Linked DNA regions of Drosophila melanogaster. Changing the gene in region 3 together with the main gene of any one other region gives a genetic interaction. Each region holds a gene or a part of one and is shown on either strand. Other genes may lie near its edges.

Region 1 (7,421 bases), on a different chromosome or scaffold from region 3:
CGATCCAAGTGCGCCTGGAGGACCGGCATTCACTGGTGTCCACGGTGATGGTATGGTGCCGGGTCCAACTGAAAACATTATGCAAAATTAAATAAAATATTTACTATACGAATGATAGAAATGCCAAAGCACACATCTAAGAACTGACGTATGCCGTATGAAAGTGTGACCTTAGAATAACAAAAAAAATAGTGTACATTACATTACACATTATTGTAATTTGAAATACTATCGAAAATATCCCAAAAGGATCTCAGATCTGTAATAGAAAAATTCAAATAGGAATAATCTCCAAACATTTTGCAAATAATGAATAACTACTCCCATTTCCTCAACCTTATGAAACATTTGAAACAATCCAATCAAAAGCAAAGATGATTACAAAGATACTCCATCTTAAAATGGATAATCTTTGCTTTAAATGTATGTACTATGCGCATTAAAAAAAAACGAGTGGATTTGTTCATAAATTAGATTGAAGCTTTCGCCACACATAAAAAGTAAGATTTCCCAACTTCTCTGCCCATTGGAAAGGAAACGCATTTGGCGATTGCCTCCGCGCCCACGAGCAAATTAAAATTCTTTGCAAATGAATAGAAACTTAAATAGTTTCAACACACCATTGTTTACGTTTTCGTTTAGTGAATATTTGGAAAGGGTTGAACGGCATTAAGCAGTGCGGATTGGATTCGAACATCCCCGGTGGACGGTGGACTCGATGAAAAATATTTGGCGCAGCTAAGGGATGGTGTATTCGCGTAGGGTATTCGAGGGTATGCTGTGTCTGTGGAACACCATGTAACAGGTACAGAGGATAGACTCTATTATATTACTAGGCAAGCCAGACTGCAATGGTTTTTCAATTCGAAAATAGTACTTTTCAATTGACAAATAGTATTGTAGTGCTGATAAACATTACGCTTGCGAGTGTGCAAAACTTTTTGAAAAAGGTAATGAGTATTCAAAGAGTCGAGATACTCTTGCTCTTAGTCGATTTTAATTAAATGTTCAACGCTTTAGCATTATTGAAACTCGAATGACAAGAAAGAAACCAATAAGATTTAGGTATATTTGAATATTTTCAAAAGAATCAAAGCATCTGCATATATCCCACTGAATTGAGCATCAGATGCCAATCCACTCACCCGATAACTCCTTGAATTCCTCGAGGGAATCTAAATGATTTGAGAAGGGCGCCACTGTAAAGCCGATATCGCTGGTGATATTCCAAAATAAGATTCAAAAAACTCTTATGGGCTCTTTTTTTTTCGAATACGAAGAAAATCGTTTCAGTCAAACATATCACTGCTGAGTGTGCACACGTACGAGTCTATATACATATCTATCGAATCATTATAATTTCAATTATTTTGTAATTTATTTTTGTTTTGTATTCGCCTTGCTTCTTCCACACAGCGTGAAAAAAAAAAAAAACAATCCCGGACGGCAGCGGCAAAGAAACAAAAACTAAAATGCGTCTGGTTAAGAGAAACGCGCACGTCAAACTGAAATGTGCCGTATAGTTTCCACATATTTCTATTCTTTGTTTTGGCCGGTTCCTTTTCTGCCCCTGGTGTTTCGCCCATATAAACCTATAGGGATGGTTGCTCTAGGCATTCGTATTCGTGAGACAGCGGATAGAATGCAGTGTGGCACATACCCTCGCAGCGTACTATTGATAGAATAAAATAGAATGGAAGTAGAAGCCTTCAAATAGCCAGCCTGCAGTGTGGGGCGTCAAGTGAGAGTCTGGGTCAGCAGGGGTATGATATGGTATGGTATGGTATAGTATGGTATGGCATGGTATGGTATGGTATAGTCTATAGTCTAGCATAGGTAAAGGTGTGCTACGGAACTTCAGACAGGGGGCGAGTCAACACTATCAAGGATCAGAGGCATGGTATGCTATGGTATCCATATATGATATGATAAGGAATAGAATGTTATAGTGTAAGGTATGGAATATATGGTATAATAGGCAATAGTAGTTTGTAGTCAGCTATGTAGCTTGCAATGGTAGTTAGTAGAGTAAATAATGGTATAGTACTGCATAGTTAATCTGCTATATTAAGAAGAAACTGGACTTAGTTCAGTTTAATAAAGTATGGTATAGATGGGTGTAGTTAATAATAGAATGGCGTCGTATGGAAGCAGTTCGCCAGTATCCAGGACAAGTCGGGACAGTTCGATCCCAGTTCTATCCTAGGCACAATACCAGAATTTCCCGAAACGGAAACGACTGTATGTTTGGCTATCAAAAAAGTAGAATGCATATTGCACAGCTTGGAAATGCATGGCGCAGTGCAGGGGTTGGGATCGTTTTAGGGGGTGAATGTGCCATTTTTCATAATCTCGTAAGCACTCCACGCACACAAACACACACACACACACACACACACTCACACACAAAAGGACGAAAAGGAGTGTAATGAAACGGACAAAATAGCTGAACCGTGCATTAATATTATCACATGGCATTTCAGAATTTCTGAATTCAAACAGCAGCGGTTCAGTTCGGGATAATTTCCAATTAGAAAAACTAGAAACAGACTTTCCTACGCTTGAACTCAATTTCCGCCTCGAAAACTCAACACGCAGCTGCTCGTTCTGTTCAGTTCTGTTCGGTTTTAATAAGGGAATGTGTGTTCTTTTTCCTGCCTTTTCCATTCCTACCCTTAGAAGCCGCAATTTTGTTGTGCGGCAATTGGAATTTATGGTATGCATTCTGCTTTTTCATTTTCTTTATGTATGCCCCGTCGCATACACATACATAATGTACATACATATATATATATCCGCTTATACATACATATACATACATACATATATAAACGAAGAATGTGCCTGGATGGGATGGTAAGGAGCTCGATGATGACGTACTTAGCGCACTCAGGATCAAAGTTGGGATCCGCAATCCCTACACAGCCAAACGCACTTTGACTTTCAGCAGAAAACCGTAACAGGTAAAAATTATTGTTCGTATCTTTTTAGTGACAAATAATATAAAAGGACAGTGCAATGCATTATCAAATTATTGACAATATGTTTAGTATAGCATATATATCCTATATTCGTGTGAAGGTGCTATCAAAAGGATAATCTTTTGGTTACATAAAATACAGATCAATACACATGATGTAGAGATCATTTTTTAGGTCTTCAAATTATTCCCAAGTCAATAGAGTTTTATAGGAAATTAAGGTGGCGATTCTAACCCTATAAAGTGTACAAATATATTTTCAATCAGCATAACGATCTGTAAAAAATTTTAATTATTCACAATTGCACTATAGAACTTAAACTGTCTTAAGCGAAACACTGTACACGTATTAATTCATTGATTATTCATAGGGCATATAGAGTTCGGTGCGCTGCCCTTTCATTATTTCAACCCCTAAAGCAACGCACTCCCATTTTCTGCTGCCGAAAATCTTTAGAAGTCAGCACAAACGAATTTGCAACCTGGCAAAGGTTAAAAAGGAATTTCTGTGAGGTGCAACGACAAAATAATTAATAATAAATCTTTTGTCCTCTTAGCTTTTAATGAAATTATGTGAGGTAATGTTAATAATGAACATAAAGGAATAATGAAATTACGAAATACTTTTCTAAGAGCAAGTGTTTAAGAACAGGCAGCTAGAAAATAGACAACAAATGTGCGAAGGAAGTGAAAACTAGAATGGTTCATTAGATATATTTACGATTTTGATCGGATATAGGATATTTTAAGCTAAAACAGGTGACTAAACTTTAAATTTTCCGAAAGCCTTTTGAAGTTTATATAGTTCAAATATTGTTGGAAAATTACGTACGTTTAACTTAACATAGGAAATTTAAGGCAGAAAACCATAATTGTGTAAAGAACTCATAATTTGCTAAAAGTTCTTCAAATTTATCATTCATTGATATGCTGGAAATTGAGTAAGTACTTACTTATTGAGTAAGTAACGCAGCAGTCATAAGAACGATCGGTCAACTAAATGGGCTGAGCTTGCTGTTTTTTTTTTTAAGTAACTGCGATTAACTTTATCACAATCGGATATGTTTTCGTTGCTCTTAAAGATATTCGCCAATGACTCATGACATACTCATTCCGTAGGCTACAGAAGCCCATAGCTGTGATAGCAACTGGTCATATACCAACGTGAGTAATACATTTTGGTTGTAACTCGTAGAGTATATGGTGTTCGGCTTGTCCAAGTTGACTTTTTCATTGTTTTCACTTCATTTTCTTTTATCACTTATCAATAGTTGCGTTGTTTGCAGAAAGGTATTACGATATTATTGTAAATATACACAGCTCATTTAGAAAATTCATTTCGTAGAATGCGATTCAGAAGTAAAAATAGTAAGTGAATTATTGTAGTTTTGCTTGAAAGTTTTTGTTTAAAACCGACAAGTTGCGAACAAGTGTTGTGGCAAACAATGCCCACAAGTATACCAAATCTTTTTCAGGTTTTTTTTTTTAATGATTCCAATAGGACATTCAGCTATTCGATTAGTCTTCGTTGCTCACTATTGCCAGTAAAGTAATAAAAATAAAAGTATATGTCCATATGTACATATATCTTTTCATAATGTGTATCTATGTATATGTGAACAGCAGACAAGTTGATGGCTCTTAAACTGAGGTAATAAATATATCGTAAAACAGCAGATCGCGTGGACATGTCAACATATTTCGCCAAAATCCAGATCGACAAAATCCGTATGTATATGATTTTTTTGTGCTGCGAATTGTCTCCCACACTGCATTTACAAGCTTCTGGCCAAAAATAAGATTATGCAATGCTGTGCAAAATGAACAACACATGCGAGAAAAGCTCTTTTCGAAATCCGCTCGGTTGGCAAAATATTTTCGAGCTAACCCCCCCCCCCCCCCCCATTCATCTTATAAGAACCACTGTGTTATCTTAAACCTGACTAATCCATTGAATTATTCATCTTGGCAATCGAAAGTTGGTGGCAGCTTGCCCTCTCTTTTCGGATTTAGAACGCTTAGATTTAGATTTGGGTATGTATGTATGTATGTATGTATGTATGTATGGTTTACATGTACGATATGTATGAGATATGTGCAGATGGGTGGAGAGTTTACTCTATAGCGATGGAGAGAAGGTGCCCTGCAGTTCAGGTCTCCGTTTTCGGGTGACTTTCTCAAATGAAAACCCGCCATGCATGTGCATGTGCTTTGCATTGAGAACCCACGAGGAAAGTCACCAAAGAAAAACCAGAGATCGACAAACTTTTGGGCGCTGGATGTGGAGTGGGTGTGTGGGGTGGGGGTGGAGTTGTAGGTTTATGGCATAGAGTTTGGATTTACGAGGTGTGTCTTTGTATGACTGGGTAATTCGGATGGGCAACGGACCTGCCTGTTGTTCTGTCTTCTCGGCAACTTCCAACTCGCTGCAGCTCAGGTTGTTCTGCAATTGCAGCAGCCCAGTGCTGCAAGTGCTCGAGCTGGTGATGTTTTTCATGCAGCCAGCTTTTTTTTCGTAGATTTCCTTTAGGTTTCGCTATTCACGAGTATGCCCGCCCGGAGGAATAGGAATACGACTTCGAGTACGAGAACGAGTACGGAACGAGTGCGGTACGAGTACGGTGCGTTGTCCACTTAGTTTACGGAATTAAAAGAAATCTGTTCGCGCTAGATTTAGACTCTGATGTCACCGTCTCCACCAACAACATCAAACGTTGTTGTCGTCTCCGGCTGGTCAAAGGCAAGGCACTCACTCTTGTTATTATTATTAGCTTGTAACAGTAACTGTTTTTCAGCTTTTCAGTTTTTCAGGCTCTGCGCTGGGCGTGTTATTATCTATGTCGTTGATAACACGATGGAGCGGTTTGTTAATTTATATTATACATGTGTACAAGTTATGGCAGCGTCTTTGAACGGGTCCGTTGACGGGGGCGGGGGGTTTGTGCTGACTTTCAAACGAAAACCGAACAAATGAAACCCTTTCGCTTTGGATTATGTGGCTCATTCGATACTTGTTTTTGCACTACTTTACTTTTCGATTCTACGCGTGCACACACATGCAAACTCGCAATACTTACTCACATCTGCAATAATTCATGAATTGGTTCGGAGTTCTTAGGAAGTGAGAAAGATCTTTTTCGGATTCCGTTAAAGTTAAACAGGCAACACACACACACACATCTGCATCTTCTCAATCTCACTCTATTCTCGCTCTCCCGCTCTCATCGCTCTCCCGATATATGTACATATATATATAACTGTGTATTTTGTATGAGCAGCTTTGTACAATATCGTGGTCTTTGTGAAAGTGAGAATGTGTCAGTAAGCCTTTCAGTGGAAATAAGGCGCAGCTGCGGCAATAAGATGAAGAAAGAAGAATGGCCACCGGAGAGCCAACTATTGATGGGATAGGTTTGGTTTAGACTTTTTCCTACACTTCGTTAGTTAATGGAGAAGCTCGTAATTGAGATGGGGCTCCTAGGCGATGACGATTCTGATTCTAATTCCGATTCTGTTTCTGGTGATGAAGAAGACGATGACGATGACGATGGTATCCCGTACATGTGTATTTTCTCATCTGCTTGGGGCCTAAGCAAATAGTCTGTTTTTCTGCACAAGTGCAATTCTAATTGCATGCATGTGTGTGCACATGTGTGTATTCGCGTTTATGGGTGTGCAAAAGCGTACGCACATGTGTGCAAGCACATGTACATCTGTATTTAGATATGTATTTTTATGAAATTTTGATTTTTTTGATTTCTTTTTTCATTTTTCTTTTTTTTGGTGTGCCACCTAGAGGCATAGGATATTATGCTTATAAAGCTACACACGTCCATATCTTGCGATGCCCTCCTCCCCTCCCCACACACGCCTACTGTTTATAAGATAGATATAAGAAATAGATAAAACAAAAAGACCAAAGAGAGCGCAAACGAACGAGCGAGCGAGAAGGTGAAACAAAAAAGTGGCCACATCTTAAGATACATTTTCTTTAAATCTTTCCCATACAGATATTACAAACACAAAACAGAACAAAATTAAAAAAAAAAAAAAACAAAAAAAAAAAAGAAGCAGGAAAAAAACCAGAAGAGGCAGCAGAATATCCAAAATTGCAAATGAAAATCGCTTTTAATAATCTTAAAAACCCACGCACACTTTTACAGCCGCTCACGGCTGTACGAAGCAAAAAAAAAAGGGGGGCGAGGCGTCTGCGGCGGTGGCAACGGCAACGGGGGGCGCACTCACAATACACCACACACAACAACGAGGCAAACGAAACAACGATGACGACAACGAAAAATCGCGGAAACACTGCGAAAAACGCAACGCGCAGAAGCGAGAGAAACTCATCGACTGAATCCAAATTCGAATCAATACAAAGAACGACGCCGACGTCAGCGTCGATAACACACCATAGCTGGTCGGTCGGGTCTGGTTGATG
Region 2 (7,311 bases), on a different chromosome or scaffold from region 3:
GCAGGTGAACACGATCGCCGCTGAAAGAACGATCACACTCCTTTACGTATTCTTGCAGCACCTTTAAAATTCGGCACATCTTCTCCGCCTCGATGAAACGCATTTTTGAATCTTTAGACTCGTCGTTGGTATTATCCGACTGATCGGGGGCATCTAATTCCTCTTGCAGCTGCGTCTTGCCCAATATAACGATATTTCCATAGTGTGTGCGCAGGCGGGAGCAGCACTCACCAATGAACATTTCATGAAACTCTGCGATATTCTCCTGCAGACGTGGGCCCAATGCCGTCGACACTTCCTTAAGTAGATCAATGGCCTTGCTGGCGATTTCCTCGCCTCCAGTTGTAATGACCCGCCACAAGTAGTCCTTTCCTATTAGATCCTCGTTGTCCAGCATGTAACCTCTATGTATCGCCTTCAGCTTGTCCTCTTTGGAATTGACAGCCTTAAAGAAGCGCTCAAAGCACTTGATTCCGCTTTCGGTTAGTAGATGCGGATCAAGTTGCAGGATGTTGTTCTCGAAGAAGTCTTTGTTTATGCCAGGATCCAAGTCAGGCTCCTCACCCATCAACTTGCCAAACCATCTAAAACACTCCTCACGATCTGCCGGAAAAACTGCATTGACCGCCAAGCAATGCCAAATCTGCTTTGCCTGATCTGCGCACAGCCATAGCTGTCCATCTTTCAGCAGGAACTTAAGGAACTCCAGTCGCTCCGCTATTTGCACGTGATGCGGAAATCTTCCGTCAATTAGGATTCTGGTTGCATCCAGGCCTGGTGAGTCCGTTACCATTTGGCGTACCTTTTCCATGTATGCAGTCAAACTATTGGTGACCAGAATGACCAAGGAATAATCATTCTGTAGTCGTTCAATCACCTGCTGACGATTCGTACTCGTTTGAGTGCGCTGGGCATGATTTGTCGTGGTATCATATAGGCAACAAATATCCCGGATTAGACGCAAGGCGGGCAGAACCCATCCATCGCCTGACTTAAGTTCGTCAACGCACTTATCCAACCAAATGGTCTTTTGGGCATCCCGCTCCTGCGAGCAGCTGTAGTCCAAGATTTTAACGTGTGCGCCCAGCGCCTGATCAAGCACCTCTGGCGGCACCTCCTGACTGTGGGCCAGAGTCCAAAACAGCTTAAGCACCTTTTGGGCCATCACACCATTTTTGTCATCCTCAGCCAAGCGGCGTATTAGCTCAAGAAGTCTTTCCCGTTGCCGCTTATTGGCAGTGGTCATGCTGGCCTGAAATAAAAATTAATATTGTTTTCATTGTTCATGAGATTTTATATACAAACCATCGCGGAAAATGTAATAATCATAATTTAAAACTTAAACTTACTTAATACACTTTTAAAGCAGAAAACTCACCTGGAACGCCTCGAAGAGGTGATCCAGTTGCTCGGGAGTAAAGTCCCATGCAAGTTTGGCCAGTAGATCGTGAACGTTCTTCACGATTGCCTCGTGTTTGCCGGCCTGCGCTCTCCAAACTGCATCCAAATCATCCAACGTTAGTGCCTGCTCTTTAATAAGAAAGCGGATGATCTTTTCCAATTTTTCCACATACTGCGGTTGGTGTAGCGAGTCCTTGAGCACGACACCCAATACATCTGACGACTTTATCCATTGCGCCATGCGATCCGCCGTCAGCCAGTCCATTTCGTCTTCGGGCATACAGTGGGGCAAAGGTTGGGATCGATGGGAGAAATATGCGACCGAGGAGAGCACCTTGTTGATCTCATTAAGGGCATTCATCTTGCCGTTGAAGCTGGACACCTGCAGCAGACGCAGGATCATCTTTAGGCGAAACATCTCAAGATCTCGGATTAGCTCCTCCTGGCCAGTCAAGCGGCTGGCCAGTAAGCGGGCTGACTTTACAATCCCATTGATGTAGTCATTGCGTCCCTCAGGTTTCACTTCTCGCTTTAACTCCTCGTCTGTGAAGCTGTCCAGAAGGTCTAACACAACGTTCCAGGTGGGCATAAAGTACTTGGCTATAGTGGCAGGCATTAGAAGCTCATAACATTGACCGAATGGACGCAAGAGGCTGTGTATGAGGGCAAGGGTGAGGCGATTATCCTGAGCCCCATTTTCAACCCTACCCTCGACACTAATATTCTTGCCAGTGCACTTGTTTTGGTTGCGCTTCAGCAGTTCCAGTCCGATGTTAAACCGTTCCAGTAGATTGTCAAAGCCTCCCAACTGTCCGAAGCGGTTAATAAGATCCACAAGCCAGCCACGCGCATTCTTGGGCTCCGGCGGCGGACGGGCGTACATTTTGTTGCTGTCCAACTGACCCCAGATGTAGTCCGGCGCTGCGAAGCACTCCGGTTGACGGCCTGCGTTAAATGTGTTGAACTTGTTCTCCGGATCAAAAACAATAGCCAGCAAGTCAAGCAGATAGGGATTGTCTCGCTGCATGTGGATGGCGATTAGATGTAGAAGCTTGCCGCAAGACACAAGGATACAGTGGTGGATGTTATTCTTCCACGAATTCACCGCCTCGTCGGTTAGGATCTTGGCAAAGGAAGTGCTCAGTCCATTGCGATAAAACTCCACACATGGCTCGCAGTCGTGATCCACACCTGCAAATAAATTGACTTTAGAGGGTATCAAATAAATCGTTTGGACACACTTACCAGCCTGGGTCAGTTCGATGGCTGCATTTAAGAGAACCTCCAATTCCTGTTCAGGCAGCACCGGCACCACCCAACGCGGATTGGATATCTTTTGCGTTAGTGATCTCAGTTTCGTCGTGGGAAACGAGGATATAAGCTTCTCTGGAGGCCTATTTAATTAAATGGACAATTATTCAATATTAAAAATAACAAATTAAATAATACACATAAAAAAAAAAGTTCTTAGGGGGTCAATCAAAGCACACCCTTCCATAAACATTTCTGTTTATTAAATGGTTATTTCTATTAAAATAAATGCCAAAACGCATACATTTTTTTTTTTTTTTTTTTTGTAATTTTCAGTGTTAGCTTATTTTGATGGACAAGCGATAAGATAGGCCGTGGACGGGCATTCAAAATGAGATAGTAATAGCCGGGTAAGGTAATATTAGTAAAGCTTGGTAAGTTCATTGCTAAAACTGGACAGCAGCCAAGTGCACCTATCGAAGAAAAAGAAAGATAACATTTATTGCCACATTTATGGTCACTAACCAGTGGCCTGGCCAAAATCATCTGAAACATAGTTAAATGAATTACGAACATTGTGCTGGCCCAACCATAGACAAACAAAGAATGCATGTGGAAGAATTACTACGCAAAAGTAAACACACGAATGTTGGGGATCTTTAGGGGTGGCGGTCATACTGGTGCTACGCACAAAACCCGACTAATTGGGCGGAGTCATGCAAATACGGCAGCACGACCACTTACACTATTGTGATGGTGCTGTCCACGCTGTTCGCTGACAAGGAAGCGGCCACGTCATCAGAGCTCTGACTGTCTGTGGCCGGCTGTTGATCCTGGTTGCCGTCCAAGCTACCTGATCCTCCTCCTGGCAGACTCGAGTTGGCGACTGTTCCTGTGCCTGTTCCTATGCCCGATCCTGATCCGGCACTCTGCGCCGGACTCGTTGTGGTGGTTGTTGTGCTGGTGGTGCTGCTGCTTGAGCTGGGCGCTGTGCTTCCCGGCTGTCCGGTGGTGTGCCTACGAGTGTCGAACGTCATGGTGGCGGGGTATCCTCTCCAGCCAACTCGTTCTGCGGAGCACCGGAAGCGGATGTTAATGCACGAGCTCTAGTGCCGGGCTAATCCTAATGCGTTCTGCAGTGCGCGTCGTTTTTTGACTGGTGTCTTATGGCAAATGTGAGGTATCCGGGCTTCTGCTTGTCCAGTTTGGGAGTTCCCCGCTGATTTGCTGTTTCTTGAGGCACAGTTGGTCGGTTAGTTGGACTTCTTGCTCTGGGCTCCCTCTTATTGTCCTTTTTCCCAATGCCTGGTCAGCGGCCAGTTTGCAAAAATCTATAAAGTGCAACGAAGCGAAAGAGGCAATAAGAGGCGGATAAATACAGCGCTAAGAGAGAGACCGAAAAGGCCCACATGTGTACGAAGCTCAGTTTTGGGTGTGTGAGTGGTCCTGCGTGTGTGTAAGAGAGCGCTGGGTTGGAATATGAAAAATCAATATTATTTAATAGACGGGGCAGCAAGCGCCAAATAATGCTCCAAAAGCACACAAATTACGCTCTCACCCACTCACACGCACGCACGCTCACCCACAGAACCCTCTCTTTTTGTGTGTGCGTTTGAGTTTAATTTAAAATTGTTTTTGTTTTACGCCTCGCTCTTCATTCTTATTTATTTATTGTTATTTTTTTGGGCAAACAAAGAACATTTTCCTGCCGAAAATTACATCACGTCCAAGTTTACGGATTTTGCACTCACTCTCTATCTCTCTCCGCCCGGCATCATCCTTAAGCGGAATGTCGGTCGGTGGGTGGGAGCCACTGGTGGAAAAAGGGGCGGGGAAAGGGTGTAGGCGAAGGGTGGTGAAAATAACTACGCATAAAGTTATAGAAAGATGCCAAAATTAGCGGTTCATTGGGTGTGTCGAGGGCGGTAAATTGCTCACATTCTTTCTATAGCTTTAAAAGTTGTAAGAGATTAACGGAAGTCACCCAAGGACGGCGGCCAGTGCGGCTTTTTATTATTTTTCACTGTTTTTTCACGCGCACACACACTTCCTCACGCGCACGTACATTTATTTTTCGCAAATGGAATCGAGCGAACTGACGACCGAGTCCCAACTTTTCGCAGGCCTCAAAATGGGCGATTGCTCTTCCTTTCGCCTTTGCTCTGGACAGCGGGGAGCCCTTACTTGGCTGCGCCACTCGAAGCTAGTCGCGGTAACTATTTCGCGAATATTGAGCTTACAAATCAGCCGGCCAATAGACAAAATGGCGTCTGCCGTTGCTGTTGTTCTGCGGTCAACTCCAATTGCCATTGCTTTTTACCTGCCTGCCCGACGGCGAAGAGCTGCGTATCCTGCGAGCGTCGCGGTTGCGGCCACAGGGTTTTTTCTACCCGCTCGTTGTCCAATTCGCGTTAAATAAATTATATTTAAGCTATTTCTTTTGCTAGGGTTGTGCAGTTCGGGCGAACTAGTTATGAATTGAACCGGTTCGCGCGGTGCTTTTTACCAGAGTTATCAGGCCATGCCAAAAGCGCGCCTATCGAACTGGTTTATGTGGTACATATAAGGGACCCTAAATTTAAATTTCTGGCAATTGGGATTTCAAATAAAATCAAATCATTGAAATGCACTGTAAGAATGTACACTCTACTAGTCATGTTTAATTGTAAATAAATATATAAAAACATATAGTATTATTAATTTGATCAAATTAGAAAGCAGTCTTAGGGCCCATTATATAATCTGTAGAAAATAATTTCCTTATTTTTAATACATTTCGCATGTGCTTCTGATGTATTATCATTTTATAAATTAGTATTAATTTAAGTGCACGAACAACCTATTCGTTTATTCAGTGGTCCTACTGATAACGATAAGTCCGATATCGATAGGAGTATTGTTTTTATTTTGTTTAATGTAATATACAATACGAAGTAATTGTTTTGATTTCATGAGAATGTACGACGCGTTGGAACGCTGCCCAGGAGCCTACTGTGGGCGATCACCGCTAGGAAACAACAGCTGGAGCAGCTGCGGGGTCTGTCCCAGAGGATCTCGGGTTAATGTTCTAGCATCCTTCGGAACGGCGCCTGGAAAATAATTTACTTTTATATTGTTCAGGTGAACCAAAGTTACGCATGCTCTCCATGCCGCGACGAGTTAAGCACGTACTCCTGGCTATACCTGGGATTCATGACCATGCTGCCACTTATGATGCACTGCTTTTTCATTGACATGGACGCCAAGGATCGCAAGTGAGTGAACTAATCAAACTGGAAGAAGAACTTACTTAGTGAATTCACATAGGTTTTCGCGGAAGCAGCTGATCTTGACGGCCAGCGCTTTCGTTGAGGTTGCCATATCTGCCATCCTCGCCACCTTGCTAATGGAGCCCATGTGGGAGCTGCGCCTCTACGCCTGTGATGTTCGAAAACTTACTGACTGGTACACATTGTTTTACAACCCCAGCCCCAATTATGAGGCACGAGTCTACTGCACCCAGGAGGCAGTTTACCCATTGTAAGACCCAGCCACCCAAGGCTCCAGGTGTTCACAATAGTCACTTTAATGTTCAATTTCCAGGCAAACCATCGTGCTGGTTTTCTACTTTCTGTGCCTGGTGAACATGTTTCTCATACGCCCGCTAGTCAGCAAAATTATGGATGTGGGGGGCAGAAGCAAGGCGCCGATTTACTCGGCTCTTTACTTCCTGCCCCTGCTCACCTTTATCCATGCGTTAGGATGTGGGTTGATCTGTGAGTACTTAAGTGCTTGCTAATATTTTGGTCTTGAGATCTTTTCTTTTTCAGATTACTCCTTTCCGTACCTTAGCGTGGCCATATCCATGGTAGCCAATGCCATCCACTATTCCCTCAAACTGGATCAAACCCTAAAGGCATTGGTTCACTCGTCGGTGTGGGAGTTAAAAAACGTGGTCATCATAGGTAAGCAAAGTGCGCATTCACCATACATAAAGTATACCAGCAGCTTACTTTCCCAGCTGTGCACTGGATGTTGTTGGCCTACGGCCTCACCTCCCTGAATTACCACTATGCCTTTATGTGCTTGGTGCCCTTCCCCACACTGTTCTATATTTTGACCGTACGTTTCACGGATCCTGCCGAGTTCCGGGAGCTGGAGTCGAGAATTTGATGCGGCGACGTCCAGATGCAAATTTTTCACGCCCGGGGAACTCGTCGATCGACTGTTGTTATCTATGTGTAGTGTACGCGTCAATTAATTTATTTACATTTAGTATGTAGCTCAGACTCAGACCTGTTCCGAGTATAATTGCGGCTCTAAAAGCCGTTGAGAAACAAATTTAGGAGCAGGTCTATTTAGTGTTTTCGTCGCACAAGCTTAATTCATTCTTCGTTCTTTTCGTTTTAATTATATTTCACATTAATTATACACATATAGTAATATTAAATACAAATCATCAGTTTCCCATCTCTAAAATAGTTTTTACACAATACGTATTGCTACATATTGGATTTGGATGCCGCATTTCGCGTTTCACGTTCAGATCCTTCGTTCCAGTGTGTGAAGTCGGAGGCATCGTAGTCGTCTTTGTCGTCATCGTCGTAATATTCCCATATCGTAGAAAAAATAACAGAAGTCAAGGACAAGGTGCAGCAGATGAAGAGCGAAGTATAAAGG
Region 3 (7,469 bases):
TCCGTTCTCTTGAGCTGGTTTGATATCTTCCTTGACGGTCTGTTTGTATGTAGAATTTTGAGGACAGAAAGTGAGAAAGAGAACAGAGAGTTGGGGGTTAATGCGGAACTCTGGGGATCGAGCGTTAACGTTTCCACTACACAGATTGCATACATTTTTAGGTGGACCCTTCCGCTCGTCGATCAGAAAGTTGACCATTAACATCAAGGTGTACGCACTACGCCGAATCGAGAGCGAATTCTTGGCACCGGTTTGTGACCCCGCAGCTATGTGAGAATTTACAAACAAAACACCATGAAGGTAATTGAATTTAAAATACAAACATCAGGATAACGCAACACTGGGAGAACCCAAGTAAAAGGAATTCTGTAAGCAACATTCAACTACAAAATGAAAACAAGTTGATAAAGAAAGAGTTTACAAAGGAACTAGTAGTATTACATTACATAAACAAAGATCGCTTGATAACAGCAATAAAACACAACGAGCAATTGGCAGGCAAAACTCCATTCCACACACAATTCGTTAATAATATTAGTAATAAATTTTGTATACAGTACCCGTCTTACCTATCCGCTTGGGATCGGCTAAATCGGCTTTGGGCTCAATATAGGGCTTGAGTTCGTCCTCCTCAAACCCCATGTTCATCCACTTGTCGCCCATGATTGTTTCCAGACTAGCACGCTTTGCGGGATTCAGTACTAAGAATTTGCGGAGCAAGTTTTCGCAGTCAGTCGACATATAGAAGGGAATTCTGTGGGGATAAGCGGTTTGGTTTAGTTCCATTTACTTTCATTTTATCTTGCAACACTTACCTATATTTGCCTCTGAGCACGCGTTCACGCAACTCCCTCAAGGTGGAGCCGTCGAAGGGCAGGGAACCGCTCACTAACGTATACAGGATGACGCCCAGCGACCAAACATCGACCTCCGGTCCGTCGTACTTTTTGCCCTGAAACAGCTCCGGTGCCGCATATGGCGGGCTACCGCAGAACGTGTCCAGCTTTGAGCCGGGTGTGAACTCGTTCGAAAAGCCAAAGTCAGCGATTTTGATGTTCAGTTCGCTGTCCAGCAAAAGGTTTTCAGCTTTTAAGTCCCTGTTATAAATAAATAATTCCGGTTAATAAGGTGCCAACTATAATAATGGGCCTTTGGTTTGTCCTAGCCTGTTTATATAAATCATCTGATTTTAATTAGCATTGATTACTCTTACCTGTGAATTATTCTTTTTTGATGACAATATTGCACGGCTGAGACGATTTGTCGAAACTTAACTCGCGCCTCCTTCTCCTTCATGCGTCCGTGGAGAACCAGGTAGTCGAAGACTTCTCCGCCAGATGCGTACTCCATGATCAGATAGAGCGTCTTCTCCGTTTCGATTACTTGGAACAATTTAACTATGTTGGGGTGATCCAGCATCTTCATTATTCTAACCTGTGGGCAGAGTACGATTAGTAAATAAGTCAAGGTATTCTTTTAAGCTAAGTACAAACCTCTCTAAAGAGTTTCTGTAGTGACCCAGGATTGAGTTGGGTCTTGTCAATTATCTTGATGGCGACCTCCTTGCCAGTGGGCAGGTGTTTCGCTAGTTTCACCTTGGCAAAATTGCCCTTGCCGATCGTCTTTATGAGTTTGTATTTGCCAATATGCTCCTCAGTAGCACGCCATCGCATAGGAGCACTACTCCGCATTTGCATGTTAGGCGAACCCTGTAAAAACAATGGTCAGGGGTAAGTAAAGTTATGTATTTTGGTGTGCATCAGGTGTCGGTTATAATTTATATATAAAACCCAACATTTCTGTGACAATCCTGATTTATGACCCTTTAAAAACCGCATTGCTAACGATTAATAGTTATATTAAATGCGATTTTAAACCACAGTGGTATTGCTTTCTCTGAACCAAATGATGAAAATTATATTGAAATATGGTAGATAAAAATGGATTTTGGTTTTTATCCCGTTTACCTGCGCAGCATTGTTGCTGTACACATTGCTGCGGTTTGCCACCACGCTGGGTACGCGGCTAGTGGGATGATGTCCTACAGGCGGGTGAGTTGAGGCTGTTCCTGACCTCGACTCGTGTCCCGAATGGGATCTTGGATCAACGCTGTGTCTGGTCGAGCTGGTCACATGCTCTGCTCGACTGGAATTGTACGGAGGAATAGGAGCCACAATCGGCCGGTCCGAACGTCTTTTCGAACTGGCTGCATTACTTCCTGTTCCCGAGGCACCAGATGCTCCATGACGATGTGAGGATTTTTGGGCCAACAAAGCTTCAAATTGTCGCAAATTCTCCTCACGCCGCTTAGACGCTGAAATGGTAGTGGCCGTAAGCTTAGATGGAGCCACTCCATCCACCACGCTGCTGCTGCTACCGCCACGACTGGCCGAGCCGGAGGTGGACGTGGTGGAGGAGGAGCTCCTGGCCGCCGGAGTGGGTCCAGTGCCAGCTGGTCGCCATACCGCTGGCTGTTTCTCGTCCTGCAAGTGCTGCTTCTGCTTAAAAGTGGCCCTCATGGCCAGCACCGTATCATTATTCTTCGTATCGGAGGCAGTACGTGCCAGTTTAGCCTTCACAGCATTTGCTCCGTTTGCGGCAGCAGCCGAGTTCTTGGAATAGGCTCCGATCGAGTTACGACCATCGCTGCCGCGCTGGAATTCCGATAACATCAGCTCATTGCTGTCATCCAGTTCTCCTGCCCGCCTGCCGCCCAAATACTGAAAATCATTCTCGGAGGACATGTCACTAATGCCCGGTCGCAGAAGGTTTTCCGTTTCACCGTAGCGCTTGCTCTGCTTGCGCTTGATCTCCAGTTTCATCACGTCCATCGATGATTGGGATTGTTGGTTTTGCTGCTGTTGCTTAAAGCTCTCCTCCACGTTATGGATGTGCTTCTCGATGGAGCCGAGGGCAAAGGACACACCGGCATCGTCTTCGGTGGACAGAAGGCGTGGCATTGGCGGCTTTTGGCGTTCTTTGGGCGTGGGATGCGGCTGTAGGGTGGGTAGAGCCGATACGGCTATCCTGGGCAATGGAGTGGCTTGGGCATCACGTCGTCGAAGCTCCACTATGCTGTCGTCTTCGGTGGCTCCATCGAGATCCTTGTTGGCAAGATGTGTTTGACGCAGTTCCATTTCCTTTTCCGTTTCCGGCAAGTTACTGCTGCTATTGTTGTTGTTGCTGCTGTGGTTGCTGTTCTGGTTACTAGATGGCGCCACACTGAGCTTGGGCGGCGCAGGTGCCGCCCCCTTGCGGGCGGCATACAGCCGGACACTCTTCCTGGTGGCATCGCCGCGATTCAAGTCAGGTGTTGTGGTAGTGGTGGCCTCCATAGCTCCTCCGTTTTGCTGCTGATTTCGGTTTTTCTGTTTTTTTTCTCTTAAATTTTTTTGTCGTGGCACTCTTCCCTTGAGTGTGTTGGTGCACAAGTACTTGTTGCTCGGAGAGATCGCAACTTTTTCTTTTTTCTTATTTCTTTTTCAAGTTGCGCTTGGCGTGTTTATTGTTCTTACACTGTGAGTTTGGGGAAAATTATTAAATTGGTCTTGGGGCTTCGGAAGTACAATGCAGCTCACACCGACAGGAGTAAGTGCTTGTGTGTGCGTTCGTTTGCATTGGGCTTTCTAAATTCTCAACGTTACTTTTGTTTGTTTTTTGTCGTCTAACCAACACACAACAAGTCGCAGTTGTTGCGCATTAAAACCTCGAAAATGAATTAAACACACAGCTAGCAACTTCCATTTCTACGTATGTACATATGTATGTACAGATGGGCGGACGGGAAGCGTGTGTGCGTGATATTTACGACAACAGGCGGACAAGAGCTAATCTGTCTCCCCGGTGACACTGAAATAAACACACGGCAGGCGATGTGGGGATGTGAAAGGGAGGGCAATATACCTAAACACACAATTACATACATAGCAAAAGAGAGTGCGCGAGAGAGAAAAGCGAAGTGGCACCTACACACCTGTGGTGGAGGTGAGCTCTTGTGCGTGTGTTTGTTTTCGGTCTCTCTCTAAATTGCTCTCTCCTATTTCTACTGCTGTTGCACAAGCTCAGCTGAGATGCCCTCGCTCTCTCTCGTGTGTGTGTCACGCTTTTCCTGTCCCCACCCCCACCCTCCTCTCCCACGCTCTCTTTTCAGTTTTATGATTCATTTGCCTTTTCGCTATTTTCCTTTGTTGCTTTTAATTACTGTCTAAATAGTTACGATGTGGAGATCTACAAGTATCTGAACAATTCGTCCGTACGAGTCGTTTAGTTGCTGGCTGGTTATATTCCATTTTTATTCGTCGCTGCTTCAGTGAGCAAAGCGAAAAGCTCCAATGCACACACACAGACACACACATGCACGGTCGCACCAACACATTGAAGCAAATGAACTACTTTTAGACAATTGAGCCGACTTTTTCACTGCTGAAAAACACAGTTAGGCTATATACATTGGTCGTTTGATAGTGTGTGAGTATTTTCTTTCTTTTTTTTTCACTTGGTCTGTGGACTATAAAAAATCACATTTCGCGCAAATCCCGATTATTAAAAGGTTCGTTTCGTTGGCCGGAGGAGTTCTTTAACCACACACGGTTATCTTATCGCAGAGGCACGCGGCTTTCGCAATTTTTCGCACTCATTTTACGTGGGGGTTTGGGTATTCGTACTAAATTATAGCTCCTCCTCTGCAACTCTGACGTAAACGTCGTCGACAGGCTACGACTACAACTATACGATTTACACCAACAAAAAACAGCAAAACACAGAAGACACCGAAAAACAAAGCTAAACAGGGCTCAGCAGCCAAAGAGCCACTTGGCCACTCAGCAACTGGAACTGGAGTGCCGGAGAGCGAGAGCGCGGAGTATTCCAAAAGCACGGAATCGCTTCGAGCAGCGACGTCGACTGCGGCAGCGGCGTCGGCCTTAATACACCAACACACCAGCACAAGCACACGATCAGTGGGCAGCTCTCTCCACTGGTGGAGCACTACTACCATTAATACAGTATCTCTATCCGTATCTGCATCTGTGTACTTGTTCTCCCACAAAGAGAAGCCCCGTTTGGAGCTCGAAAGTTTTGAGAGTGTATGAGTGTGCGAGTACCACTGAGCGTAACGCTGGGAAAGAAACTGTTAGCCGTGTTTGCTGCAGGGTTTAGTGTTCTGCGCATGTGCGCAATATATAAGTTCCACCAAGTTACGCAAAGCGCTTCTTCCCTGATTTACTGCGATTAAAGTAACATTCGGTTGGACTTTGGTTTTCTATTAAAATCAATCAATTACCCAATAAGTTCAACTGCTTCCTTTAAAGTTAATCAGTTGATTAGGTGATGCATTACGTAAGAGTTCTAAGTAATAAAACCAAAAGGACATGATGTCTGAAGTCTGAGTCGGAATTCTACGGTCGTCGCGAAGATTTCACTAATCAACTTCCCCCGTTCCCCTGTTTTACTCTATATCAATCACCAGAATACAAAGACCGAGGAATACACACAGTTTGGTACTAAAAATGCAATCCCGAAAGAACATTATTATGAACATCTTGTCGTCAAATAATTGTAAGTCATTTGTCAGCCGACACAATAAAATTTGTGAATAAAATATATAGAGACACGAGTGATACGACATAAACGAAACACATTAGGTATACTTAAAAATAAATAATCTGGAAAATAGAGAAACTCTCATTTTAAGATATCAAAAAGTGTCTCATATGAAATTCGATCATTCTGTCAATTTGTAACTCGCCAAGTTTGGTTTTAATTTATTCATACGAGGTATCAAGTAGCTGAGCCTGTATAAAGTGTCCGTATTAATTAAGCTAATTGAATAACTTGCAGCTTAATCTACATTAAGACAAGACAGCGAGATTTCAGTCAAGCCTTTCAGGTCCCAAACAAAAACATTAAAGATAGAATTTCATTTTTCGCATGCTAGCTAACAGGAAAATCTAATGAGGTCAACTATTATGAACTTGTCCTCCGGACAATGCAATCGTATAGTTATAGAAACAGAGAGCCCGTAATCCCTATAATCCCCTAATCTTTAAACGTATTTGCGTTGGGTTTTTATGTAGCACTTGTGCGATTAGACTGAAAATATATATTAGTTTCCATATGGATTATAGGAATTCAATGTGGGGTAACAAAAATCTGAAATTAAACAAAATCCGTAATCAAAATAATAGAAATCGTTATTCATTCGATTGTGGAAAAAAAACCAAAAACCGTGACAGATACAGACAAAAACGAAACAGCGATTACGATTAGATTGAATGAAGGTGGCAGCACAACAACGATAAATTTGCAATGTTCATAAATGAATGGGGAAGTGTGAGAGACCGACAAACTTTAATCACAACAAATATAACCTTATTGCCCCACTCTTTTGAAATGAAGTAGCAAGGTCAAGTGTAGTTTTGCTCAAGAGCCTAGGAAAGTTTCTAAATCACATAATTGCCAATATCGCAAGCTCCCAATATAAATCCTCCTATATCTTCTATTATATTAATTATGCAATAGTATCTAACGGGTTACCGTTACCGTCGATGGATTTCGATAAAATGTAAGCAACCATCGATAATATCGATAAATTTATATCCAATATTACATACCCTCGAGTTGCGAGCCTTGTCACTGGATGATGCCGACTCCTTGGCCTTGGGCCTTTCCGCCTTACTGGTGGCCACAATGGGCAAGCCGCCGTTTTCGATCATTGTCACCACAATCTTATTGTTCCGACTGCTTACGGTGCCACCACCACCACCGCTTGCGTAGGATGAGTTCGCCGCCGCAGCTGAGGCTGCATTTGTGGCCGCTAGATTCTTCTGCCGCAGGGCGTTCGATAGCCGTTGCTTGCGTTCCGCTCGGGCCTCCTCCTTTTCCCGCTGCAACTTGGCAATAGTGGCGGGCGTGTGGCTCTTGGAGCGCTTTAGAAATCTCATCAGTTGGCTCTTAACATTGGTGGCGGCACTTCCATTTCCCTGGCTTGTGGCATCGCCTATTTCCTCTGCCCTGCTGGATCTTCGGGATATTTGAGCCTTGGTGGGTACCTCCAGGCGACGGAAGACCCCATCGGCCATTCGGACGAAACAGCCCTCCGACATCTTGTGAAAGGAGTCGGATGGCAGTTTGTGAAAATCGCCATTGGGACTGCGATAGTAGCAGTGATCCGTCCGATGATAGCCATCTCCCACAATATAAAACTCATTGCGCCCCTCCTTGGGCGCCACAGCTGCTGCTGCTGAAGCCGAGGATTCGGCAGCCAGGTCGTCAGTCTTGGCACTTCGATCCACGGGCAGTTGGAAGGCCATTAGTTGGGTGATGCTACTACTGCTCCCACCAGCAGCATCCTCTGCTGTAATAGGCAGGACACTACCCGAAGTCCCCTGCCCGGTATTAACTGGTTTCAGCTCACTGATCGTTACCGGACGACGTTCCGGGTTCTTGCGCATAATGCTTCCATTGCGCAG
Region 4 (10,449 bases), on a different chromosome or scaffold from region 3:
CGCAAGGTAAGAGATGATGAAGAAAATTGTTTGCGATTGCGATGGAGAACTCAAAACGAAAGGCGAAAAACAGAAATCCACCAAATTCCCGTTCGATTGTTCGGTTTCGTTTCATGTGATTTGACCATGCATGGGTGTGTGAGTGTGAATATGAGTGCGAGTGTGAGAGAGCAAGGAAACGCTAAGAGAAAACAAACGGCTCGTATGCGTAATATGGGTGTCTGTGTGGGTGGTGGGTGTGTGTTAGTCTGCGCGTGTGTGTGTGTGTCTGTGAGGGTGTGTCGGTGTTATTGAACAGTACACTTACATACATACAAATTTAAGCTTAAGAATTCGTTTTGAATTTCGCTTAACTAACATTCCTTTTTCTCATTTAATATAGTTTTTAGCTTTTTGCGTCTTTCATTCTGTTTGCTCATTTCGTTTCGTTTACTCCATTTACGTTTTATTCATGTATTAAATTTAAATTAATTGCTGTATTTTTTCCTTACATTTTCGACTTTATGTTTTACTTTTACGTTTGCGCTTATTAAATCGTTTTTCATTTTTATTACCTCGTTCTCACGTTTATTATTGGCTTAAAATTAAAGTTGTATTTTACGTGTTGCTGTCGTATTTAAAGTTTGTTTTAAAAATTAATGCATGCCAACTCGATGAAATTTGCTTTGTGATTTACTCTCGTGTGATTGTTTCTCAATTTTCGTTTAGTGTTTCGACTTTCGTTCTTTTTCTGCTTGTGCTTTAATGTGTTTTGTGGTTTAAATGAATTTTATTTGTTTCGTTTTTGCTTCTCATAATTAAATATAATATTTATTCAAATATAATAAAATGCTTGGTTTCTCGAATGCAAAAAATTCAAATGTAGTAGACTTGATGTTGCAGTTTTCTAACGTTAAGGAGCCAAATTGCGAAGCGACGCCAACTTAATAGTACCGCGAATTTTTTATGTTGCGATTCGATTCTGGGCCGCAGCAACAGCCGCGCCACGCCCACCAGGCCGCCCAATTTTCAAACATTTTGCTTGGATAGTTGTTTTTTTTTTCTGTTTTTGTGCTGTTGTTTTCCATGCTGTTTATTGTGGATGACAATTTGTGTTCCTGCTGCTTTGCTTGCTGTTATCATGTTGCAAATATGTTGATACACATACGGGTGCTGCTGTTGTGGTGATCGACTGCTATGGTTGTTGTTGCCGCATTGGTTCCATGTTGTTGTTCTTGAAGTTGTTGTCGTGTTGTTGTTGATTTTGTTGTTGTTGTTGTATGCATATATATTATATGGTATTATATTTACTTTAGAAGGTATATAATGTGTTTTAAATGGAAGGGCGGGGGTTTACTTAAATTACGACACGTCCTGATCCTCAACATCCTGGATTTGCTCTTTGGGCTCGCCATCACCTGCGTTGGGGTCTACTTCTTAGTATAATATTTAGAACTTAATAACGGAGCCGAACAAGTGGATGTGATATTACAACTTACCTTCTGCCTGCATATCGGACGTCCATAATGTGAGGTTGTCGCGCAGCAGCTGCATGATGAGTGTCGAGTCTTTGTAGCTCTCTTCGCTCAGTGTATCCAACTCGGCAATGGCATCATCGAAAGCGGCTTTCGCCAAGCGGCAAGCGCGGTCCGGCGAGTTGAGAATCTCATAGTAGAACACCTGCAAGGATTTTAAAATATATATATAGAAAACATATGACGACATCGTGTCTCTTCACAATCACTCACCGAGAAGTTCAATGCCAAGCCCAAACGGATGGGGTGTGTTGGTGGCAGATCGTTCATGGCAATATCGCTGGCCGCCTTGTAGGCAATCAGCGAGTTCTCTGCCGCATCCTTGCGGTCGGAGCCGGTGGCGAATTCGGCCAGGTAGCGATGGTAGTCGCCCTTCATCTTATAGTAGAATACTTTGCTTTCGCCGGATGTGGCGCATGGAATGAGATGCTTCTCGAGCACGTTCAGTATATCCGAGCAGATGTCGCGCAGCTCCTTCTCCACCTGTCCGCGGTAGGTTTTGATCATCTCCAATTTCTCCTCGGCCCCCTTGTTCTCCTCCTTCTGTTCGATCGAGGTGATGATGCGCCACGAGGCACGGCGTGCTCCAATCACATTCTTGTACGCCACCGACAGCAGATTTCGCTCCTCGACGGTCAGCTCTACGTCCATGGAGGCGACCTTCTTCATGGCCTCCACCATTTCTGTAAAGAGGACATAACAAATGAAAGGTGTGGTCTTTAGTATATAAGAGTAAATGTTTACAATAATCAAGTGTAACATCTCAAACCAAATTTAAGGGATTGCCCATTAACTAACGATTAGTTTAATCATTAGTTCGCATATATGTATATTCATTCTGCAATGCCTAAGGAAAATATACATCATTAAACAAATACTTCATTTGAGTGAGTAAGAAGTAATGTTTATGATGTAGTTTAAACAATGCTATCGGACGCTATTTTATCAACAATTTCGTAGAATACAAATGTTTGTTTGATTGTTCATATAATTTTTGAATTGCTTTCATATATTTCATGTTAAGATTAAAAATAAAAACCAAACATTTCAATTGGAAAGCCAACAAGATACATACATTATATACATTTTGCGTAGATAAATTTATCCAAGGTATGGAAGGCTTGTTATCTGGACTTTCCTCCCGCTTGTCCTTGTCCCCTCGCGACAGCCTAGACTACCTATTTTCCATTTCTTATCGCCGACACGCCCAATCCGCGATGATATATAAGTTATGCAGATATATTTATGCATAAGGTGGCGTTGCGTCTACGCCTGATTTAGCTGGTTCTGTCATACCAATACCAATACCAATACCAATACGGGGCCATCCAATCAGCCGGTGATAAGGGCTTCCGCCACATTGTTGCACCCAATCCTATCGTCCCCATCGGGGGCATCTCTATCTGCGTCTGCATCACCATCTAAAACTGCGTCATGAATCACATGTTCGGAACTCAACACGGAAGCAAACAAGGAGCTCGTTTATCAAATTAAAGTGAGTAGGTTAAGAGCTGATATCATTTGGCCATTTCATTTCCTTTTTCGAGTCAGTCAATTGAAGTCTAAATATATTTCGAAGTTCATTTAAATGCTTTTCGGGCATATGATTAGTATTTGGAATTATGCAAGATTAGTTTTTGATATCTGACCAAAGGAAATGTAAGATATTTCCGAACCAAATCATCTAAATTATCATTGCAGTGCTGCCTGTCTGGGTAAAGCCAGTTGCAGGCTAACTATCTCGGGCATATCTGGTGGCTGATAACAATACAGAGCTAGACTACACTACTATTCAAAATATTGTAATTGTAGCGCGTTTGCTGACTTGCACTGTCTGCCCTCTCTCGCTCGCACCCGCTGCCCGTCAGCTGCTGACGTATTTCGCACACCAACACCCCCATACATACACACACACTAGCACTCACACACAAAGACATCGGGACATTTGCCGACTGTCTGCTTATTAGTGCGATTTTTGTTGTAGCACGTATTTGTGAAAAATTGCCAATAAAGTTGCATGATTCACGAATATTTGTGGCTGTGATTGAACTTCAAACATTGTTGTTCGCATTGGCGGGCTGTTTGAAACCAATGTGGATGATGATGTGCACACGCATTTTACAACGCTTGCAAGCTATGCTGAGTTACGCATAAAAAATGAACTTGAGAGTGGGTAGGGAGGGGGAAGGGGAGGGGGAGCGCAGTTGGGTGGTGAAGGGTGGCTGGGATCCTTGCAACTTTAAAAGTATACAGCACATGTTGCTTAGTAGTAAGTAATCCACAACCAATTATGAGACATGCGCGTCAGACCAGTCACTAAATCATGTACATATAGCAAGGCGAAAATCAATAAACGCGTCCCAAAAATAAAGAGCCAAGTCCCGCGGGCATGATAAATCATTTGCGGAACCACGAAGTGGTAAAAAGAAATGTATGGAAACTTCTCGAATCATATGAACTTTCAGTAGAAAGTGCAAAGTTCACGAAAGTCTAGCAAATTTGGCGAAAATAGTATGGAATAGATTCTAAGTAGATTCGTGAGTAGTTGAACTACATTTGAAAAGTATTCATCTTTTTTATTATAAAAAATGATTAATCTTTTTCATAAACAAGTTGATTGCAAAGATGAGCGTGGTCATCTCAATTGTGTTGTTTTTCCAAGAAATAAGTATTGGAATTTGATAAACTAGCGACAACCCTGCAAAGGCAATCCACCACCACCCAAAAGTAAAAAGAAGTCACGCGAGCTGGAATGAAATATTGGGACGAAATAGGGAGCAAAAGGAATGGGCAGGATTTTCCACCCCCTCCTACCAACACGCCCCCAGAGATCCACCCCTCCCTTATGAGACGCCTGTGGGTGTGTCTTGCGCTCGTGTGGGTATGAGTGCGCGTGGTTTTGTGTGTGTGTGTATGTGTGTGTGTGTGAGTCGCATAAGGGCGCAGCAGCTGAAAAAACATGCGCACATACCGTTACAGCGGGCAGAGAATGTGTAATTAGACAAAGGAAGCAGCAACAACAGCCCCTAAAATGGTGCAATTTGAGCAAAAAGCGAGCAACAAACAAAACACACCTAACACCACCGCCACCCACCGCCCATCAATCAACCGTATGTATGCTACTTTTTCCACTCATTTTTTTTTTGTCTGCCTTTTGCGCATATTGACGACATTGACGAGAACGAACATCAACGGAAAAAGCAGCGCGCGACCTCGAAAAAAATGTAGATAGAACGCAGAGAGCGCAAGATGGAAAGAGCATGGAGCGGGGGATGGTGGGCGCAGGGGGCAGCACCTGAGAAAGCACACTTAAAGGCTGACGTTAATGTGTGCAGAAAAGGGGAGCAGGGGTTTGAAGAGGAGATGAGATCAGGGGCGGAGAGGGCGAGGCAAGTTCAGATTGGGGGCGCAGACATTGCCGGCTGGCGGCTTTGCCGCTCCGCTTCGCTCTCCGCCGCGCTCTTTCTCTCTCTTCGCGCGCAATGGTATTGGTGCTCCAGCATGAGCTCCACCGCAAAATGTCCGAGTGTGACAAGGCCAACGCCAAGTGCTGCACACCAACGCACACCGATGGGCGAAAATAAGAAGACAAACATGTGATACAGACACAAATATCCCCACCAGTGGTGTATGTATGCATGTATGCCCTGTTTGTGTGTGCTAATAGTTGATTGACTTCTTTGCCGCCGCCACCGCCCGTTAATGTTGTCAGTTTTGCAGGCAATTAGGTGCAGAGTACCGTTTGCAATTATTGTTGCTATAGTCGCTGCCCAAGTACAGCAGCAGGAAGGAACGGCAGACAGAGGAATCGCCAAATGTTTGTTAACTTTTTACAGCCACTGTGCAGCGTCGCCGACACTTCGACACACTAGCCATCTCGTTTTGGCGCACGCAGCGTTTATGGCAATTGGTTAAGCGCGCGCTTTTTGCAAATGCCGAATTTGCCGTCCCCCTCCCACTGCGACTTTCTTTGCATTTTGAGCTGGCTTTTTAATTAATTGGAGTATTTTTAATTAAATATAAGCAAAGGCTACAGAAGAAGCAACAATAAAAACCGCCCGGCGGACACTCATCGGCACACGCACACCTCCGTACAAACACACACACACACGCATGCATACATGCGCATAAGCATGAGTAATGCGAGAGTAACAGAAGAAGCACAGAAAAATTTTATATTTCCTTTTTTCGCATTATCAGATAGGGTTGCCAAGTGGCCGCATAACTGCTTGCAACTAGCCGCAACTAATTTGCATAAATAAAGAATTAAGCAATAGGCAGAAAGTGAGAGAGGGAGACAGCCGGCGACACAATCGATTCATTCATCGATTTTTCGCAGCAACGGCATGGTGACGACGCCGCTGCTGCGCATGAAAAGCACATTTCGTGGAAAAAAAGGGGGAGGGGGTCTGAAAGAGAGGACTGCACCTACCCCTGCCCCACAATCATTGATTTTGGGTGTGGAATAAGTGTATTTAAGAAACTAGAATCCCCAAAAAATGTGTCGTTTCTAGAAAGTTACGCCTTGACAACTACTAAGAAAGAAAAAAAAAGAACGCGAACTGGAATCAACTGCAAACAGCCCTTAGCAACCAAGGAAGAAAATAAAATGCTAGCTGCCGCGCAGCCCTTGCTCGCAACGCCAAATACACAAAATTTTCCCCTTCTAAACTAATACTATATAGTTCCAAAAAAGAAAGAGCGGAGCAAACTATTTGCTGTAAATTATAATACGCAATTCCGTTTCTTTCTCTTTTTGTGCAAAACCACGCGAATTTTTGCCGGTAAAAATCAGGTTTTACACTCTATTCATCTCTTTTCGTTCTTCCGACGCTCTGCTTCTTCTTCGGCTTCTTCCTCTTCTTACTGTTTCCTCCATCTCCCGTTCTTTTCGCAAGAAATACTACTCATCGCGACGCTGCGTCGCTTCGAATGCAGCTACAGCGATGAAAATTGAAAATTTCCATCGTTTTCTCTGGAAGAAAACCTTTTAATTGGCACATTCGGACGAAAAGCGGAGCTCTAGACTTTTTCAACGACCACGCGACGACGCAATGGATCGGGAAGACAAAAAAAAATCCCAGGCGACCCCTCCCCAAAAACGTTGGCGCTCCTCAGTCGAGAAAATTTTTTCCCTACTCTACTAGCATTTGTCTACCGTTTTCTACCATTTTTGCTACCATTTTTTTTCGGAATCACTACTCACCGTCGTAGCGCTCGGCCTGTTCGGCCAGCTTTGCCTTGTACACATTGTTCTCGCGCTCAGTCATTGTGTTGAAGCCTTTTCGGTAAAATTAATCCACAGAAAAAATTATTTAAATGCTCCCGGTACGTGCGGCGTCGATTTTGCTTGCTGCCTGTGGTTCGTCGCCTTCTTTTTTCTCTACTTCTCGAGCGGTGTGACCGTATCGGGCGGCGGTTGAAACACTAAAATTGATGGGCGATGGCCTAATGACGGACTTAAAAACGCATCACGCGTTCCGTGCGCATGCGCAAGCGATGGTGGTAAAATCGGAAAAATTTCTTTTTAAAATGGTATTTCTATCTGGATATTACTTGTGAAAATCCGTTTGTGTGAAGCTTTTATTCGGAAGTTTTAAAATGTTATAGTAAATTGACACATTTAAAAAAGCTATAGCTATAAATATGTTGTATTAAATGAACACATGAAGCAATGTCGTTAGCAGGGACTTCCACCTTTTCTGTGCAATTCAATTTGTCATTAGTCATGACATAACCCACATGCACTGCAGACTATCGATACTTATGATACTTTCGATTAGAGTATAAATTTTAAATTTTAAAATGTGACCGTTTTTTATTTTAAATAAAAGTGTTTAAAAAACAGTTAATATTTTTATGGTTTAATTTAATCCTTCTAAGTTAAAAAAATAAGCTACTAAATGCTCTTATTTAATTTCGAAGTCCGGAAGTGGTTATTTTGGCGTCCTTTGGTCACACTAGCTTTAATGTTGCAAAAAAGTTGGGGAACAACGACATTTGATATGGGAAATATGTTTAGAAACTAAACCACCAGGTCTTGCAGCAGAAACCAGAATGACTCTCAACCTGGGCGGCTGGATCCACAGCTTCACAGTGACGGACACCCAGGAGCACAAGGGCGGGTACACAATATACAAAATCACCTCGATTGTAAGTCGTTTTTTTTGGGGGCAGATGAACTGTTCCAAATAGTAAACCTCACCCACTTTTAGGTCTTCCCAAGGTCGGTACCTCAAGCTCTGACCTGCCTGGTGGTGTGGAAACGGTTCCACGATGTCAAGCGGCTGCATCGCGAGCTTAGCCGGCGCCACAAGAGTCTCCAACTACCCGGCAAGTTGCCAGTGCCCACAGATAGCACATATTTCAAGAGATTCGATGCGGCAGTCATCCAACGGCGTAAGGAGTACATCCTGCAATTATTAGACTTTGCAGCGCAGCATCCGGCGCTGTACAAGTGCTCAACCTTCACACAGTTCTTCCAGGAGACACCCTCGCCAAACGGATCGCCACTTAAGAAGCTATATGTGGAGCGATCCCTGCGGCTGCAGACGGAAGACAATGGCTGCGGAAGTGGCGGTTCGGAAACAGGAACTTGCGCTGGTGCCATAGCCGACATTTGCGATAAACTAGACTTGCCCTATGACCCACACGACGCGGGGGGCATCACGCCTCTAGATCCGCGCTGTGATAAGGAGCAAACGAACAACGAATCCCAGGCCAAAGAAACTGAAATCGAATTAGAAACGAAACAGGAGCCCAAGACAGACGTAGCGCTGACCAAGAGGGATTATCTCCGCCTTCTGACGCCCATGGCTTCCATAGAAAGCGACGACAGCGACTACATATATGAGGCGGCTCTAGAGTTCAGTCATGCCGTCCAAGCGGAGGTTAACCTGGAGTATGCCGAAGCCCACGAGAGGTACAAGCATGGTGTGGACCTGCTGCTCAATGGGGCCAAGCAGGATAGCAGTGAGGAGCGTAGATTTATAGCCAAGGCGAAGATAGCCAAATACTTGGCGCGGGCTGAGGAGATTCACGCCAATTTCCTGGCCAACGATTGTCCGACGAAGAAGCTGCAGTTCCAGCTCTCGCTGGACACGACAGACGGCGGTAGCGTGAGCCATTTGGAGTGCCCCTGGAATCAGTTGGCACGCTACAAGGTGCTGCAGATTCTCCAGGACCGTGTGATGCAGGTGCAGTGTGTGACGAAATCCCAGCAGCCGGCTGCCATTATGAAGGGCGTCGAGAAGCCGGCCAGTCACTCGCTGACCCAGAGCATCTTTCTGCCCCAGCAGGTGCCTTACATGGTCCAACTGCTGGCCTACTTTCAGTCGGAGCAGAAGATTTTTCTGCTACTGCGGCAGGCGGAGGGCGGCATGTTGTACGATTACCTGCAGAGCTACACGCCCACGAGTAGTAAGAGTGTCAATTATGGAGAGCTTTTTCCCTCGGACCAGGAGCCGGAGGAGAAGGAGGCAGAGGAGCCACCTCTGACTTCGGACAGCGATGTCAGCGATTTGGTTCGCAGCTCCCAGCAGCTTTTAAAGTCCGTAACAAACACGCTGAGCAATTTGCAAGCGGGAGTCGTTACACCCAAAAGAAATAAAAAGGTGGATCAAAATCGCATCCGAAGTAAACCCATTCCGGAGCAGTGCCTGCGTCAGTGGGCTTGCGAACTGGCCATCGCCATACACAGTCTGCACGGCAAGGGCGTTATTCTGCGCGATCTGCACATGGGCAACATTTTACTGGGCGCCAAGGGACAGCTGCTCCTGACGTATTTCTATCAGAACGAGGGTCTAACCTCGGACGACAACTATGTGCACAAGGCACTGAACTTGGAGGCAGTGGCTAATCACTTTGTGGCACCAGAAAGACCGCTCACTTTTCGCTCGGACTGGTGGAGCTACGGCGTGGTGCTCTATCAGCTTCTGCTGGGAGTTGTAAGTTTTGAGTTCTCGATTGAAAATGTTTGGATAATAGCAATCTGCTTTCTTTCCAGCCCTACAAAGTCACGCATCCCGGGCAACTGGACCTCTATGGTTGTGTTCAGTATCCTAGTGAGTCGTTGGAGATTTCCGATCATGCCAAGGATCTGCTGGAGCAACTGCTGCAGCTTTCTCCGGAGCTACGTTTGGACTACGACCAATTGCAGGCTCATCCATTCTTCAAAGGCATCGATTGGCAGGCGGTTTTGGAGCAGGGAACTGAGTCCATGTGAAAATAGGCACTATTTGCTTTGCTATTGAGTCCGTAAAGTATTTTCTTATTTCGTACTGTACCTGAAATCCCATTTGTGATTCCTTGCTCAGTTCTGATTGGCATTGATTTTGATTACTTTCAAAGAATCTGAAGTCGCTCCATAGCGATTAATTATGTTGTGAATCTGCTATATTATTTTCTATGCATTACTTTTAATACTTGTCTTCGAAAACAAGTGTATTAACCATCAGTTTTGTTTTTATGAGTCTTTTATGTTGTTCCTTTTTTGAATTGGAAGCTGATCAATTATTGGTACAAAATACGATTTATTTATACGTCTATTATATACATTTGCAAAGTGTCCTAGTTTATGTAATTGCTTACAATTAGAAATTAAACTAAATTGAATGTAGTTGTAACAAAATTTGCAAGCCATTTTACAAAATTAGTAAGTAATAAAATTTGTAAAGCCAAATGAGCTAGTATACAATATAAAAAGCACTTTATTGTCTAACTACAGCAAAAACAGCAAATGGAACTTAGTCTACGAGTAGAATAACTAAAACTAAGTTTGTTGGGCAACGAAGCTTTCCAATTTGGAGGGAGGTCACTCGTCACCCGTTTTGGTAAGGCACATTTGGAATGCATTCTGGGGGCGGGGCTCTCGTTGCAGAGCCCCTAGCCCTAGATTAACCTAGACTTAGACAGGCATAATAACCTCATTATGATT

Evidence for each region.
Region 1: of par-1 (region 3) and sd, changing one suppresses a phenotype caused by changing the other (phenotypic suppression), as found in Drosophila melanogaster (one study listed by BioGRID).
Region 2: changes in par-1 (region 3) and faf together harm fitness more than expected from each alone (negative genetic interaction), as found in Drosophila melanogaster (one study listed by BioGRID).
Region 4: of par-1 (region 3) and 14-3-3epsilon, changing one enhances a phenotype caused by changing the other (phenotypic enhancement), as found in Drosophila melanogaster (one study listed by BioGRID).

Annotation. Positions count from the first base shown.
Region 1 is NC_004354.4:15,812,243-15,819,663, reverse strand, and holds the start of sd (scalloped), read right to left. Parts: upstream 4,366-7,421; 5' UTR 3,934-4,365; intron 1,514-3,933; exon of another isoform or gene 1,146-1,513; intron 69-1,145; coding exon of another isoform or gene 1-68. UniProt on the Drosophila melanogaster protein: Transcription factor which plays a key role in the Hippo/SWH (Sav/Wts/Hpo) signaling pathway, a signaling pathway that plays a pivotal role in organ size control and tumor suppression by restricting proliferation and promoting apoptosis.
Region 2 is NT_033777.3:31,774,844-31,782,154, reverse strand, and holds the start of faf (fat facets), read right to left. Parts: upstream 5,136-7,311; 5' UTR 4,973-5,135; intron 4,913-4,972; exon of another isoform or gene 4,591-4,912; intron 4,518-4,590; exon of another isoform or gene 4,404-4,517; intron 3,984-4,403; 5' UTR 3,690-3,983; coding exon 3,397-3,689; intron 2,796-3,396; coding exon 2,647-2,795; intron 2,593-2,646; coding exon 1,379-2,592; intron 1,253-1,378; coding exon 1-1,252. Other genes in the region: CG2126 (uncharacterized protein), read left to right, coding at 5,603-5,710, 5,773-5,906, 5,959-6,171, 6,235-6,407, 6,462-6,596, 6,653-6,804. UniProt on the Drosophila melanogaster protein: Ubiquitin C-terminal hydrolase involved in development and the imd/NF-kappa-B (IMD) signaling cascade. Required for eye and embryo development, and plays a role in compound eye assembly and oogenesis respectively.
Region 3 is NT_033778.4:19,464,837-19,472,305, reverse strand, and holds the start of par-1 (par-1), read right to left. Parts: upstream 4,841-7,469; 5' UTR 4,665-4,840; exon of another isoform or gene 4,493-4,664; intron 3,517-4,492; 5' UTR 3,336-3,516; coding exon 1,968-3,335; intron 1,710-1,967; coding exon 1,494-1,709; intron 1,435-1,493; coding exon 1,214-1,434; intron 1,098-1,213; coding exon 816-1,097; intron 755-815; coding exon 561-754; intron 1-560.
Region 4 is NT_033777.3:18,239,181-18,249,629, reverse strand, and holds 14-3-3epsilon (14-3-3epsilon), read right to left. Parts: upstream 6,944-10,449; 5' UTR 6,785-6,943; coding exon 6,721-6,784; intron 2,198-6,720; coding exon 1,728-2,197; intron 1,660-1,727; coding exon 1,479-1,659; intron 1,416-1,478; coding exon 1,342-1,415; 3' UTR 1,051-1,341; downstream 1-1,050. Other genes in the region: CG7156 (uncharacterized protein), read left to right, coding at 7,572-7,667, 7,730-9,460, 9,520-9,738. UniProt on the Drosophila melanogaster protein: Positively regulates Ras-mediated pathways. Acts downstream or parallel to Raf, but upstream of nuclear factors in Ras signaling. Three mutants have been isolated, that suppress the rough eye phenotype caused by mutated Ras1 (sev-Ras1 v12).